Sus scrofa: one gene and its partners. The protein of the gene in region 3 interacts with the protein of the main gene of each other region in a pairwise test. Links are inferred from orthologs where the notes say so. Each region holds a gene or a part of one and is shown on either strand. Other genes may lie near its edges.

Region 1 (3,516 bases), on a different chromosome or scaffold from region 3:
TAGTAAAATAGTTTTATGGTGACATGAAGTTAAATAATATAAATAAAAGTAAATATAAAGTAAGTTAAATGGATCAAATATGTGATTTTCTCATTCTCTAGGACATTAAATTGTATGATTGGACAGATGAAGCATATCTTGGCTGCAGAACAAAAGAAAACAGATTTTAAGCCAGAAGATGAAAACAATGTTTTGATTCAGTATACTAATGTGAGTAAAATGATTCAATATGCTAGTAAAAATATCTGCTTTATTAACATTTTCATTGTTTTATGCTATGCTCCAAGTTTTTTTCTTTTATGTTTAGAGATTAATGAGAAATTATATTTTCTCCTTAGAGAAGCTGATATACATTTCTATGTAATAAGTATAGAAAAAATTTTACAGGCCTGTGTTAAAGTCTGTGCTTATGTAAGAAAACAAGTGGAGAAGATTAAAAATTCCATGGATGGGAAGAATGTGGATACAGTTTTGATGGAACTTGGAGTACGTTTTCATCGACTTATTTATGAGCATCTTCAACAATATTCCTATAGTTGTATGGGTGGCATGTTAGCAATTTGTGATGTAGCTGAATATAGGAAGTGTGCCAAAGACTTCAAGGTATGTATTCACAAATATCAAACTTGTAAATAGGCTCAAGAACGTAAGTCAGATCATAAAAAAATGTGTATGACTTATAATCATTAGTGGAAAGTTTATAAGTTTTGTTGGTATTGTAGTAAGACAGACCTAACATTTCCTAACTGAAAAAGTATTGTTCCAATCATGTTTTTGATATTAAAACATTTTTGCTTTGAGTTTTTTTTAGACAGGGCTATAATTTAGTTCCACAAGCCAAGTGACCTTTTTAACATCCGTAACTGATGCTGTATATGTGCATATATCAAGAAAATATGTTTTTGGAGTTTCCATCATGGTGCAGCAGAAATGAATCCGACTAGGAACCATGAGGTTGCGGGTTCGATCCCTGGCCTCGCTCAGTGTGTTAAGGATCTGGCTGGCATTGCCATAAGCTGTGGTGTAGGTCGCAGACGCTGCTTGGATCCTGCATTGCTGTGGCTTTGGCATAGGCCAGTGGCTACAGCTCCGATTCAACCCATAGCTTGGGAACCTCCTTGTGCCGCGGGTGTAGCCCTAAAACACACACACACACAAAAAAAAGAAAAGAAAAGAAAATATGTTCTTTCTTCATGTACATCTTTCTGAAACCAGTTTCCCTTAAGGTTTAAATTATTTAAGAAAACCGTTAAATTAATGATAACTAGTTCTAGTCCACAAGAGTATAATGATTATTACTATTTAAGAAAACTGAAATAATATGAATCTTACCAGAAAGATTATAGTGAGTTTATATAACATCTGAAGTATTTGAGTTTTAGTACTTCAAGAGCTTTTAAAAATTCTGAAATATTCAACTATCTAACATTACTAAGTCCTAACTACCAAGTATTTAAGTGAGAAGAATTTACAGAGAGAGTAAAACTAGAAATTATTTTGTTTCAATATAATTTTTGTCCTTCTCTTATTTCAATTCAGATTCCACTGGTATTACAGCTTTTTGATACTCTGCATGCACTTTGCAATCTTCTGGTAGTTGCCCCAGATAATTTAAAGCAAGTCTGCTCAGGAGAACAACTTGCTAACCTGGACAAGAACATTCTTCACTCCTTCGTACAACTTCGTGCTGACTATAGATCTGCCCGCCTTGCTCGACATTTCAGCTGAGGTTGAATTTACAAGGGAAATGTGTTGTACTTCAGCAGGTCTTGGTTGACAGAAAGCACAGGAGGTTTCTTATGACACAGCCAACATTTTATGGAAAAATGACTGTTTGGAAAAACAGCAGCCATACTTTCCCTTGAGATTTTATTTGAAATTTGGGCTCTGCTTAACCATATTTTGCTTTTTTCCCTTAAGTTGAACTTAATTCCATTTTTGAACTTAGAAATTTCAAATTCTGTGAAACTACATGTCATTGTTTTCATCCTAGAAAATGTTGGTGTCAGAAGGCAGATGAGATGTTAACAGTGTTCCAGTTCATGTTCTTTAACATATTCCATTGGGAGATTCCACCATCCTGTTTTGCACTAATAATGGGTAAAATACAGCAGAACTACATTTATTTATCAATTTTTAATGAACTTTTCAGCACTGGTAATTGTTAATCGAGTTATTTTAGGTTTTCCTGGAGAATATTTTTCTCTTTCAAAAGGTTAACATTTGAGCATAAATTCTATAGTTGGTTGATTGGATTTTTTCTGAAGTACAGAAAAAATATTATATTTAATACTATTCCAAGGAAAATGTTGCAAACAAAACTAAAATGATGAAGTGTTTTAGGTAGGTATTAGCACTGGATCAGAATACATCTGCTTTCTGGGTTAAAAAAACTTAAAGTTTACAATTTCTTATTTGGTAAACAGATTTTAAGCCAATGCTAGTAAGAAAGTAATAAAACTACCTTATTTTGTATTTCACTTAAGATAAGCTGGAAGATCTTAACTAAAGAACCATAAGGAAAGTAAAAAGTGAGGTATAGTCTTAATGGTACATATGGGAAGTATTGACCATGTTTAGCAGCAGTGTAGTCCTTTAAGATTTCTGTCTTTATGCTAAACTGGAATAAGAGTGAATGGCTAAACATGCAGGTAGTCTTCTATTTTAAGAGGAGTTGGGAATTGATAGCATTATATATTCTGAGTCTTGAGATGAGCTTTGCAAGGACTAGTTGCTTTTTAAATCTGTAGTTTCTGTCATTACCTTTTTCAAGGCATTTCTTAAAGTGATTCCTACTGAATGTAGTTAATTGAATTGGCTTAATATGGTGACATAATAAATCACTTATAAAATTTTAAACATCAAGTGGAAATTTAGAAAGGCCTTTACTCTGAAAACTATAAACTTGCTCTGTGAGAATGCGTTCTTAGCTATATGTGGTATTTAAGTTTCCGTTGTGTTGTCCATAGTCTTCCAGGAACAGATAAACTTTAATGTTCAACTCATTCTTGGCTTTTTTTTTCTTGAATGTAGACTTTCTGGCCTAATTTTGGAAAATTACTTTTAAGAATATGTTTCTGAATATTCATCAACTTTACCAAAATTTCCAGGTCCAAAGCAAATTAGCTACCATTTAAGTTACTATTGACTGAATTTTCTTCATTTTCTGTTTAGCCCAGTGTTATCAAGGTAAGCAAGAGAAATGAAATATGCCAACTTTTATCAAAGCATTTTAGGAAATCGTGGCAGCTTTAGAAGGCTGTCTAGTTTTCTATTCCTTAGCCGAAGGAGAGCCAGAACAGGCTTTGGATACTAGAGAAAGTCATAGGCTTGTACTTTTGCCATTTTAGAAAGCTCTGATGTGAATTCAAATTATACCTCTGTTACTTAAAAGCCAACAATTTTAAAGCAGTAGTTCTACTGGCCATTTGAACTCTTTGTACACACTGTCAATTTGTTTAAAAAAAAGGGAAAAATGATCAAATAAAACATAAAACATTTTAAAGACTTCCAAAT
Region 2 (3,516 bases), on a different chromosome or scaffold from region 3:
GTTAGCTCCACCCACAGGTGCAGATTTGCTGAGTCGAGCTCTGCTTCCCCTATCTGAGAATTGAGCACTAAGAAAAACCTTTTTAATAAAAGTCAAAACTCCTAGTTAGAGAACAATGCTTAGGGAAGTGAAGGTGAATTTCTAGGCTGAAAGGTATTGCTGTTAGAGAGATCTGAGTAGGCGAAGGTTCTGAGGAAAGTGGCTTCCACCTCTGTTATGGATCCTCCATGCGTGGAAATGATGGGCATTTTTAATCAGATAAACCCGTTAACATGGGTCATACAGTTCCTCATATGAAATCAGTAGCAAATTTGCTTTTGTTTATCTAGTTTAGGTGTATTCACATCGCTTTTCTAATTTAACCCACACGTACAACTAAAAAAAAAAAAAAAATGTTTTTTAAAGTTCTACCCTTTGAAATTTACTGCTAGTTTGAGGGGAGAAGAGTTAAGAAAGGTAAAATATAATTAATATTATTTATGTTCTTTTTTTAGAACCACACCCATAGCATATGGAAGTTTCCAGGCTAGGGGTCAAATTGGAGCTTCAGCTGCCAGCCTATGCCACAGCAACACCAGACCTGAGCCGCATCCGTGACCTACACCACAGCTTAACGGCAACGCTGGATCCTTAACCCACTGAGCGAGGCCAGGAGTTGAACCCACATCCTCATGGATACTAGTCGGGTTCTTTACCACTGAACCACAATGGAAACTCCCTCTTTAAGTACATTTTTAACCACATTTTGTTTCTTTGAAATCCTAAAAAAATGCAAATCTCGTTGAAAACTGAGCTTGAGTCCCAATTTTGCGCAAGTTCACTAAAGTCTTTTAAACTCAATTTTCTCAATATTTCCTAATGTGAAATATGTGAACATTGTGTGAGGTGGTTGTGAGTTTAGCAATGACATGTGTTAAAGACCTAGCACACATTAGCACAGTGCATGGATCGTGTGCTGATTTGCTCTGCAGATTACTAAATTAACCAGTAACAACTTAGATAAAGGATGACAGAATCTGCTCCAAGAGAAATCCATTGTCAAGTTAAGCTGCAGGTGTGTAACTCATGCAGAATCAAGGCCAACAGAATGCTTAACCACCAACCCTTTAATGTGCTCCTCCGTCTTGACCAGGGGGAGGTGACAAAGGATAGCGAGATGCTGGGTAGAAGCCAGATGAGAATCTGGGCCAGTGGGAACTGGGCTGGGGAGGAAGCCTTGGGTCTGCTCATGTTCATGAGGAGCAAGTAACCTTTCACCACTTCTCCAAAAGTATCTAGAAGATCCTGGTTTTCTTAAAGAACAGTGGTCACCTGGAGTTTATCTGCAAGTGATTATTTGTCAGGCACAAAAATAATCCTTTTCTTCCTGTGGTGTACAGTGAAGAGTTAATGGCATTTCTGTAACTTCTTTTCAGACTTAGCATTTTCATTTAGCTGATTAAAATGTGGTGTAGATGATAATTATGCCAAGTTTTTTTTTTAATCATTCAAACACTCAGAAATGATTTTAAAAATCTTTAAATGGCTTGTACCAGATTTTCATTTCCCAAAGGATTTCTAGTTAGGGAAAATTTGCTTAGATTATGCCCTTTTGTCATCTTTTCAGTAAATGTTAAATCAATGCAAAATGAGTAGATTTGTATTTCTAAAAATAACCTCTTTCACAGGAAGAAGAACTAAGGAAGAGTGGAGAAGCCAAATATGCCCACTTGAGCGATGAACTTCATGTATTAATTGAAGTTTTCGCTCCACCTGGGGAAGCTTATTCACGTATGAGTCATGCACTGGAAGAGATTAAAAAATTCCTGGTTCCTGTAAGTGTTTTTCATTTTTTACAAAGATGTTTCTTATGAGTTTCTATTATAAAATGTGCCTTTGATCTTCACTGACTTTTTAGATGGAAATTTATGCTGCAGACTTCTTCTTTATAGAGTTGATATGAAGGTAAAAATAAAAAAGAATACCAAAACACTCAGCACAGGACCTGACATGTTGCCACATAATGACGGTTTGGCAGCAGTATTTGTCTCAACTGCATTCTGTGCCCTGCGCTGTTCATGGCCATGAAGAATAAGAATAAGAGAGTTAACACATAAACACAAATATGTAACTGAAGTTGCGTACCTTTCTCTTGTGTCTAATGACTTGGTAGTTGACACATATTATTCATAATTTTTAATAGAGAAATATTTTCAGGTACAGTGGGAGGGAAAAGAGATTGGATGTGTAATATTTGTAACAAGACGATGTGTTGTTTGAAACTATCAAATGTGCTTTTATGTCATAGTATGCCAGGTGCTGGCTCATTATAAAATATAATATAAAATACCAATATTAATAGAATTGGACATTTGTTGACGTCATGCAAAAAATTGGAAAAATGAACTCATTGTGCTAAATGAGAGAAGCAGAGAATGTTCATTTAGTAAGGCAGCAAATTCAGGGATGCACACTGAATAGAATTCTCTACTGATTTTCTAAGAAATAGAAGAACGAAGCTTTCCTAAAGGTTGACAATTTCGCATTCTAGGAAGAGGTTGTTTAAATAGAAATCTTGGCACCAGGCTTAGAGCTGGGAATAAGATAATTGGAAGAGAATGCTGAGTACGGTTTTTGGGAGTGCTCTGGCAGACCAGGTCCTCAGCAGAGAAAGAGAATAGCTAAGCTTAATCCGTGTGATGAAGAAACACTGCAGTTTTCTAAACTAATTAATGAGCTCAGAGGAAGTCATGAATCTTACAGTTCATTGGTTGGCCCGTGATTTGAGAATGGGGAAATAAACGAAAAAAACAGAATTCCAGAATGGAAAAGTGTCAAAATCAAACAACGTAATCTATGTGTAGGCCCAGTTTAAAATTCTTCTGTCAGGAAAAGGTTATAGAATAACCCCATACTGCTCTGATTATTCCATAACTTTATCTGCACACCTTATTATCTAGTGTAGTTTGAATACCTCTCTAAATAGACCCTGTATTTCTTAAGAATGAAGATCCTGTGTTCTCTACACGTTGATGCTGTTGGTTACACATTTGTACTGTATTTAGCTCAGACCAGACCTCTGATGATATAGGTATTATAGGAAAAAGCTACACCGTCTAGACTAGTAACTCATTTTGTGCCTGTAGACGAGTCAGTTAAATTCTCAGAACTTCAGCTGGATTCCCTGATGGCTCAGTGGGTTAAGGATCTGCTGGGGTCACTGCTGTGCCACAGGTTGCTGCTGTGGCAGCTTCCATCCCAGGCCCAGGAACTTGTGCATGCTGCCAGTGCAGCCAATTAAAAAAAAAAAATTAGCTGATTCATCTTTACAAAGAAGCTAAGGAGATAATAATAACTGAAGGGCTTCTGTCATAGTTATTGTGACTATTAAATGGGGTAATGCATATAAAAAGGCATAGAAAATTGTAAAGCACTATATAAATTGATGTTTTAAATCTTTTTTATTATTACAAGTAGATAAAAACCATCTTGGAATGATGGAGGTGAACTGTATAAGAGAAAATCCTATTTCATTGC
Region 3 (4,160 bases):
CAGTGGGGGCGGGAGGGTCTGGCCTGAGCCTTTAGGCCTGTGCCTCGACCTGCCTCCGTCCTGTCCTGGGAGGGCCCAGAGCGAGGGCTGGAGCCAGACTCGCCTGGTTCTGGGCGGTTCCCAGACCACTGGAAGGGATTGCTCTCTCTTTCCTGGGAACCATGGTGTGCGGGGCCGGGCTGGCGGGCGGGAGAATGCCCTGGGCGGGGAGACAGGACAGGTGCGGTCACTGCTCCACCCCTGGGCCGTCTCATGGGCTCAAGCTCAACAGGTTTGGTGCTGGTGTCCTGGGAGGGCTCGGACCTTGGCCTTGGAAACTTCTGGCTTCCTGGTTGGTGTGGGCCCACGGCTCCCAGGCAGGGCCAAGGCCTGAGGGGCAGAGCACTCTACTCACAGTGAAGGGTGGACTGCGGTGGGGGGGCCTTGGAGCCCAAGGGTGCCGAACAGCTCAGCCGGCCCTTCTGTCCCTCCCCTTGGGCCTGCCCCTCCTGCTCAGACCTGAGCAGGCTGTGCACTTCACTCATGAACCTGAGACATACCCTCCTGATCTCAAAGTGAAGGGATCGGTGTCCCCACGCTGCTCAATAAAAGCGAAAGCGCCAATGAGTAGGGGCCGTATGATGTGAAGTCCCCTCAGCCCTCAAGGGGCTGGAGGGTGGGGCCAGGTGCCGCGGGTGAGGAGCAGGAGAGGCAGCGCCTGTCTCGGCGTCCAGCAGAGACTCAGCTGCCAGCTGGCTGTCCCTGGGTCTGGCTGTCTCCTGGGAGGTCTGGGGCGGAGCGCCTTGGCCCTGGTCCTCCAGCCCCGCCTCGCCCCCTGGCTGAGCGCTCACCAGCCTCCTCTGGGCAGCTTTCCCACAGCAGGCGGGCAAGAGTGCCCAGCCTGACCTGGCCCAGGCGTGGGGGGATGGGTGGGGGCTGTTGGGGCCCTCAGGGCAGAGCCCAGGGCGCTTGGGGAGGCCATCCTTGGTGGCACAGGTGTGGCTGGCCCAGCCACCTCATCACGAAGGTGGGTGGCGGCTCAGCGGGGCGGGGACGGCCTGTCAGGGTCAGCCCTGCCCACGGGCTCCTCCCAGCCAGGGCTGCCTGAAGCTGGACGGGTGAAGGTGGCAGGGCACCGGCCATGGGGTCCCAGGGCCAGGCTGCCCTGGGCCCCAAGTACATGGGCCTCTGGGACTTCGAGGCTCGGACGGCCGAGGAGCTGAGCTTCCGGGCAGGGGACCTCTTCCACGTGGCCAGGAAGGAGGAGGAGTGGTGGTGGGCCATCCTGCTGGACACGGCGGGCCAGGCGCTGGCCGAGGGCTACGTACCCCAAAGCTACCTGGCCGAGAAGGAGACAGTGGAGTCAGAGCCGTGAGTGTCCCTGTGGCCCTTGGAGCCTTTCCAGGTGGCCCTCTTGGGCTCAGGGCAGGGTGGCTGTTGGGACAACTCTACCCCTGTGGCTGGGCTCCAGGTGGGGACAGGGGCACCAAGCTGGCCAAGGATGGGGCCCATGGATTTGTTTCCCTGTGCCCCTCCGTGGGGCTGGACCTTCCCTCCTGGCCTTGGGACCCCTCACTGGGCTTCTGACATCTCCAGGGAGGCCACAGCTGCCACGCAGTCACCTGCTGGTGTCAGGACCCAGGGGGCCGCCTGCTGACAGTGAGGGGTCTGCACAGGAAGCCGAGGCCGAGGCTGGGCCTTTGTTGGAGCAAAGCTCCACTCACCTTCCAAACACACAAAACCAGACTGGTGGCCTAGTCAGAGGAGCCGGGAAGGCCATTGCGACACGCCCGCCCTGGGTGTGGGCCACGGACGTGCTCCCTGTACCAGCATGGCTGCCCCATCATGGGCAGGTGGCTCTTGGTGGGCGGGGCCATAGGGCAGCCGTGTGCCCAAGACCCATTGCACCCCATCCCCTCCTGTGCGCTCCTTCCACTGGGCGCCTCCTGAAGAGAGAGCAGCAGACAGGACGGGCCAAGCCCTGGGCAGTGATAATGCAGGGGTCAGAGCCATTGCCAAGGCCCTGAGGCCTGGGGACTCAGCACATTCGAGAGGTGCGAAGGGGCGGGAGGCTGGCGGGGAGAGTGGATGGGAGCGATTCCAGAGGTGCTGGACCAGTGGGGGTGGGCATGGCCCGCGGGCTCCGTGCCGGCCGTGCCCTCCCCCGGGGCCCACGTTCTAACGGGACCCTGGAGTGGGGAGTGCAGAGGGCAGAGCACGGAGGCAGAGGTGTCCGGGGAAGGACCGCAGGCCCCAGCCTGCCCTCCGGAGTCCAGGGCTTGTCCCTGTGCCGGCTCTGGGGGCGGGGGAGCAAGGGCGCGTGTGGCTGCACCGTGTGGGTGGGTGTGCGCGTGGGTGCATGTGGGTGAGTCCCAGGGAGCCAGAGCACAGCACCCAAGGTTGGGGGGCTGCTGTCCCCACAGAAGGGGGTGGCTCTGTCCCCAGAGCCAGGAGACACCAGGTAGTGTCCACTTCTGGGTCCCCAGGGCCACTTGGGACCCTGGGGGGTCAGTTGAGGGGCAAAGAAGGGACCTTGGGGTCAGTGAGTGTCTGCAGGCAGCCATGTGCCAGCGTTGGGCAGGGCGGGGGCACAGCCAAGGTCTCCGAGGCTCAGGACCCCCCACCTCGCAGGTGGTTCTGCGGCCCAATCTCTCGCTCAGAAGCCTCACACCGGCTGCTGGCCGCAGGCGTCGAGCAGGGGGCCTTCCTGGTCAGGACCAGCGAAAAGCCTGGCGCCAACTACGTCCTCTCGGGTACTCCTCCTCCACTGCAGCCCCCCGCCCCCGCGCCTGAGTTGGGGGCTCCCTTCCTGCAGGCAGAGACCCCCCACCCCCGGCCCGGCTCCCCACTGCCCTGGGCATCTGGGACCTGCAGGCCCTGCCCGGGGAACTCTGATCCCTCAGTGGGTTGGGTGGGGTCGGTCTGGGTTCTCTCCGGTCGCCGTTGGGGCGCCCCCCCCGAGGGTGGGCTGCTCTCTGCCCATTCACGAGCGGGCCCCCCCATCCAGTGCGGGACAGGCAGACCGTGCGGCACTACAAGATCTGGCAGCGGGCCAGCCGGCTGCACCTCAGCGAGGCCGTGTCCTTCCCCAGCCTGGCCGAACTCGTGGAGCACCACAAGGCCCAGAGTCTGTCCCACGGCCTGAGGCTGACCTCGCCCTGCTGGAAGGTAGGGCCCCTGCCACAGCCAGACCCTTGCCTCCCCCCCCAGGCTTCAGCCCTCTCTCCTCAGGCGCCGGAACCCTCGGGTGGCGGTGGGGGTGGGTCCTGACACCCCGACTGACTGGGGACACAGCCTGGGGACGCTGGCTGCCTGGGAGCTGTGACTGTGCAGAGCTGGGGGTGGGCTGGGGACGTGCCCCCCCTTTGCCCAGTCACTGTCCCCGGGGCCAGCCAGAGGTCAGCGGAGCTCTTGCCACGCCCTAAGTCTCCAGGCTGGTGGGTGCCTGGGGCCAAGGGCTGGACGGGAATTCTGTACGAGTGGCACTCAGGCCAATGTCACTGGCCCAGAGCAGGTGGGGGGGGGTGTGTTGGCAGGCATTGGCCAGGCCACGGGCAGCCCCCAGGAGGGCCAGGGCCACACATCCCAGGCAGAAGGCGGTCCACACTTGAGGACAGGCCAGCGGCTGTCCGCCTGCAGGGGTTAGAGTGGGGCCCCCCTGAAGGGCTGGCCCTGTGCCCCTGCAGCATGAGCCCGAGCCCCTGCCCCACTGTGACGACTGGGAGAGGCCGAGGGAGGAGTTCACGCTTTGCCGGAAGCTGGGCGCCGGCTACTTCGGGGAGGTCTTTGAAGGGCTCTGGAAGGACAAGGTCCGAGTGGCCATTAAGGTGATTGCCCGAGGTGAGTGCGCCCCAGGCCGGGGGCAACTGGCCTCGGCCCCGGGGTGGGGGGCCCTGCGCTCCGAGCCCCACTCGCCACCCTGGCTTGGACCATGGGGCACCTGCTGCAGCTGCTGGCTTTCTTTCACCTGAATGCATTTACCTTAAAAGGGAATTTCAAATTCTTAATGTAAATGAAAGGAACGCCATTAAAATAGGTCTCTAGGAATCTGAAGAGGTTCCCCGCAAACCTCCCAGGGGCCCACCCCCTGCAGGAGCCGGGGCCGGGGCTGCAGGGAGCTAGTGCCGGCTCCCCAGCTGGCTGGGCCAGGTGTGAACCAAGTGACGGTACTGGTGGTGCCC
Region 4 (3,516 bases), on a different chromosome or scaffold from region 3:
CCAGGGATCAAATACGTGTCCTCATGGATGCTGGTCAGATTCATTAACTGATGAGCCATAAGGGGAACTCCTTTGTTCCCTAATTTTTTAAAAAGTGTGATAAAATACACATAAAATTTGCCATCTTAGCCATTTTTAAGTGTACGGTATTAAGTACTACCAACTCCTTTTCTTTTTTCTTTCTTTCTCCCCCCCCAGCCCCCAAGTGTGCAGTGGCTTGATACGGGATCTCACCTCCCAGACCAGGGATTGAACTTGGGCCACAGTGGTGAAAGCATCAAATCCTAACCACTGGACCACCAGAGACATCCCTGCCCATCTGCCCCCCTATTTGTGGCTTCCCCAAGCTGAAGCTGTGGCAATGCTGGATTCTTAACTCACTGTGTCCACCCAGGGATCGAACCTGCATCCCAGCACTCCAGAGACGATGCCGATCCCATTGCACCACAGCAGCAACTCCCAACTCCTTTTCTATTTGTTTATTTTTTGTCTTTTTAGGGCCCACCCTGTATGGAGGTTTACAGGCTAGGTGTCGAATCAGAGCCATAGCCGCCGGCCTATGCCACAGCCACAGCAATGCCAGATCCCAGCTGCATCTTCGACCCAGCAGCTTGTGGCAATGCTGGATCCCTAACCCACTGAGCAAAGCTAGAGATTGAACCCACGCCCTCATGGATACTAGTCAGATTTTTAACCCAATAAGCCACAAAGGGAACCCCCTCCAACTCCCTTTTTAAAACAAGGGTTAAAAACTGCAGATTCTAGGGCTCTGTAAACACAAAGCTTCTATGACTCTAGAATTATAAGCTTTGAATATTTGGGGATCCTGAGAATCTAAGGTCTGAATCTTCCAGGATTCTAGGTTTGTTAAGAGTCTAGAAATATCAAATAACAAGATCTGTACCTCCTACTGCTCTAGATCAGCAGTCAGCAAACCTTTTCTTTTAAGGAGTCAGATAGTTGGAGTGTCCGATGTGGCTCAGTGGAAACGAACCCAACTAGTATCCATGAGGACATGGGTTTGATCCCTGGCCTTGCTCAGTGGGTTAAGGATCTGGCATTGCTATGAGCTGTGGTGTAGGTCACAGATGTGGCTCAGATTCTGAATTGCTGTGGCTGTGGCATAGGCTGGCAGCTGTAGCTCCAATTTGACCCCTAGCCTGGGAACTTCCATATGCCGCACCTGTGGCCCTAAAAAGAAAAAAACGGGGGGGGGGTCCGCTAGTTAATGTGTTCTGCTTATCACAAACACTCAACTCAGTTATTGCAGCTCAACAAAACAGCCACAGACAATATGAACTTGAGTAGGTGTGGCTGTGGCCAACAAAACTGTACTAACTGGTACTGAAATCTGAGTGTCACATAATCACGTCATAAAATATTATTTTGATTTTTTACCAAACTTTTTTTTTTTTTGTCTTTTTGTCATTTCTAGGGCTGCTCCCACGGCATATGGAGGTTCCCAGGCTAGGGGTCTAATTGGAGCTGTAGCGCCGGCCTACGCCAGAGCCACAGCAACTCGGGATCTGAGCCACATCTGTGACCTACATCACAGCTCACGGCAATGCTGGATCCTTTTTTTTTTTTGCTATTTCTTGGGCCGCTCCTTCGGCATATGGAGGTTCCCAGGCTAGGGGTCGAATCGGAGCTGTAGCCACCAGTCTACGCCAGAGCCACAGCAACGTGGGATCCGAGCCGCGTCTGCAACCTACACCACAGCTCATGGCAACGCCGGATCCTTAACCCACTGAGCAAGGGCAGGGACCGAACCCACAACCTCATGGTTCCTAGTTGGATTCGTTAACCACTGTGCCACAACGGGAACTCCAATGCTGGATCCTTAACCTACCGAGCAAGGCCAGGGATCGAACCCACAACCTCATGGGTTAGTCAGATACGTTAACCACTGAGCCATGACGGGAACTCCTTACCAATCTTTTAAAAATGTAAAAACCAGAGTTCCCATTGTGGTACAACTTGATCGGCAATGTCTCTGCAGCTCCAGGACCCAGTTTCCGTTCCTGGCCTGACACAGTAGGTTGAAAGGATCCAGCACTGCCAATGCAGGTTGCAGCTGCAGCTCAGATCCAATCCCTGGCCTGGGAACTCCATATGCCATGGGGCAGCCAAAAGAGAAAAAAAAGTAAAAAATCACCGCCAGCTTGAGCGAGGGCTATACAAAAACAGACCATGCGTGGGATATGGCCCGAGGGCCATAGTTTGCAGACCCCTGCTCTAGAATTTTCAGAGTCTGAAATTCAACAATGCTCAGGTCTTTGAGATTCTGGGTTTGATGTCCCCAAATTAACAGAATTTTCAGAGGCACATACACGAGGGGCTGGAGGTTCTAGGTCCCAGAAGTCTGGGGATCCTGGAAGCCACTGGGAACCCCCCTTCCACCGGCAGGGCAGCATACACAGCACGCACCTTCTTGTGTGTCTTGAGCTGTTCGTCACTGTAGCGAAGCACGTCCTTGATGAGGTCCTGTAGCTTCCGTGTCAGCTCCAGGTGGCAGAGCGCCAGCTTGTCTGAGGAGACTCGGAAGACCTCCCAGAGTGGGGCGAAGGTCCTAGAAACAGGTGGGATCACACCCAGGGCATGCCCAACCCCCGAGGTCCCCTCAGAGAGCATGACCAGCAGTGGCTCAGGCACCTAATGTGCCCTGGGCCCCGCCAGGCATTAACACATATTCATTCATTCATGTAATCCCCACTGCAGTCATATGAGGTGGGTCTATGGCAGATGGGGAAGCCGAGGCATGGGAGGCTCCATAATTATTTGTTCCTCGGCAAATGAACATCAGAACTGGAATTTATTTATTTATTGCTTTTTTTGGGAGGCCGCCCCCGTGGCATATGGAGGTTCCCAGGCTAGGGGCTGAATCCGAGCTGTAGCTGCTGGCCTATACCACAGCCAAAGTAACGCAGGATCCGAGCTGCTTCTGTAACCTACACCTCAGCTTATGGCAACGCTGGATCCTTACCCACTGAGTGAGACCAGGGATTGAACCTGCATCCTCATGGATGCTAAGTCAGATTCATTTCTGCTGAGCCACATCGGGAACTCTTGGAATTTATTTATTTATTTATTTTTATTTATTTATTTATTGTCTTTTTGCTATTTCTTTGGGCCGCTCCCGTGGCATATGGAGGTTCACAGGCTAGGGGTCCAATCGGAGCTGTAGCCGCCAGTCTACGCCAGAGCCACAGCAACGCAGGATCTGAGCCGCGTCTGCAACCTACACCACAGCTCACGGCAACGCCGGATCGTTAACCCACTGAGCAAGGGCAGGGACCGAACCCGCAACCTCATGGTTCCTAGTTGGATTCGTTAACCACTGCGCCACAACGGGAACTCCACTCTTGGAATTTATTTATTCATTTATTTTTTTAGTCTGTACCCATGGCCTAGGGAAGTTTCTGGGCCAGGGGTTGAACCTGAGCCACAGCAGTGACCCGAGCCACAGCAGTGACCCAAGCCACTGCAGTGACAATGCCAGATCTTCAACCCACTGCG

What was found. The genes of interacting proteins can lie anywhere in the genome.
Region 1: the proteins of PTK6 (region 3) and EXOC5 interact in binary tests that used the Homo sapiens proteins (3 or more experiments, as listed by UniProt). The two-hybrid records come from large-scale screens. The link is inferred for Sus scrofa from reciprocal best matches to the Homo sapiens genes PTK6 and EXOC5.
Region 2: the proteins of PTK6 (region 3) and KHDRBS2 interact in binary tests that used the Homo sapiens proteins (3 or more experiments, as listed by UniProt). The two-hybrid records come from large-scale screens. The link is inferred for Sus scrofa from reciprocal best matches to the Homo sapiens genes PTK6 and KHDRBS2.
Region 4: the proteins of PTK6 (region 3) and FCHO1 interact in binary tests that used the Homo sapiens proteins (3 or more experiments, as listed by UniProt). The two-hybrid records come from large-scale screens. The link is inferred for Sus scrofa from reciprocal best matches to the Homo sapiens genes PTK6 and FCHO1.

What each region holds. Positions count from the first base shown.
Region 1 is NC_010443.5:186,381,700-186,385,215, reverse strand, and holds part of EXOC5 (exocyst complex component 5), read left to right. Parts: intron 1-101; coding exon 102-210; intron 211-387; coding exon 388-603; intron 604-1,539; coding exon 1,540-1,728; 3' UTR 1,729-3,516. UniProt on the Homo sapiens protein: Component of the exocyst complex involved in the docking of exocytic vesicles with fusion sites on the plasma membrane.
Region 2 is NC_010449.5:27,616,066-27,619,581, reverse strand, and holds part of KHDRBS2 (KH domain-containing, RNA-binding, signal transduction-associated protein 2), read left to right. Parts: intron 1-1,667; coding exon 1,668-1,814; intron 1,815-3,516. UniProt on the Homo sapiens protein: RNA-binding protein that plays a role in the regulation of alternative splicing and influences mRNA splice site selection and exon inclusion. Binds both poly(A) and poly(U) homopolymers. Phosphorylation by PTK6 inhibits its RNA-binding ability.
Region 3 is NC_010459.5:62,543,632-62,547,791, reverse strand, and holds the start of PTK6 (protein-tyrosine kinase 6), read left to right. Parts: upstream 1-1,356; 5' UTR 1,357-2,338; coding exon 2,339-2,732; intron 2,733-2,986; coding exon 2,987-3,147; intron 3,148-3,665; coding exon 3,666-3,819; intron 3,820-4,160. UniProt on the Homo sapiens protein: Non-receptor tyrosine-protein kinase implicated in the regulation of a variety of signaling pathways that control the differentiation and maintenance of normal epithelia, as well as tumor growth.
Region 4 is NC_010444.4:59,973,476-59,976,991, forward strand, and holds part of FCHO1 (F-BAR domain only protein 1), read right to left. Parts: intron 2,570-3,516; coding exon 2,428-2,569; intron 1-2,427. UniProt on the Homo sapiens protein: Functions in an early step of clathrin-mediated endocytosis. Has both a membrane binding/bending activity and the ability to recruit proteins essential to the formation of functional clathrin-coated pits.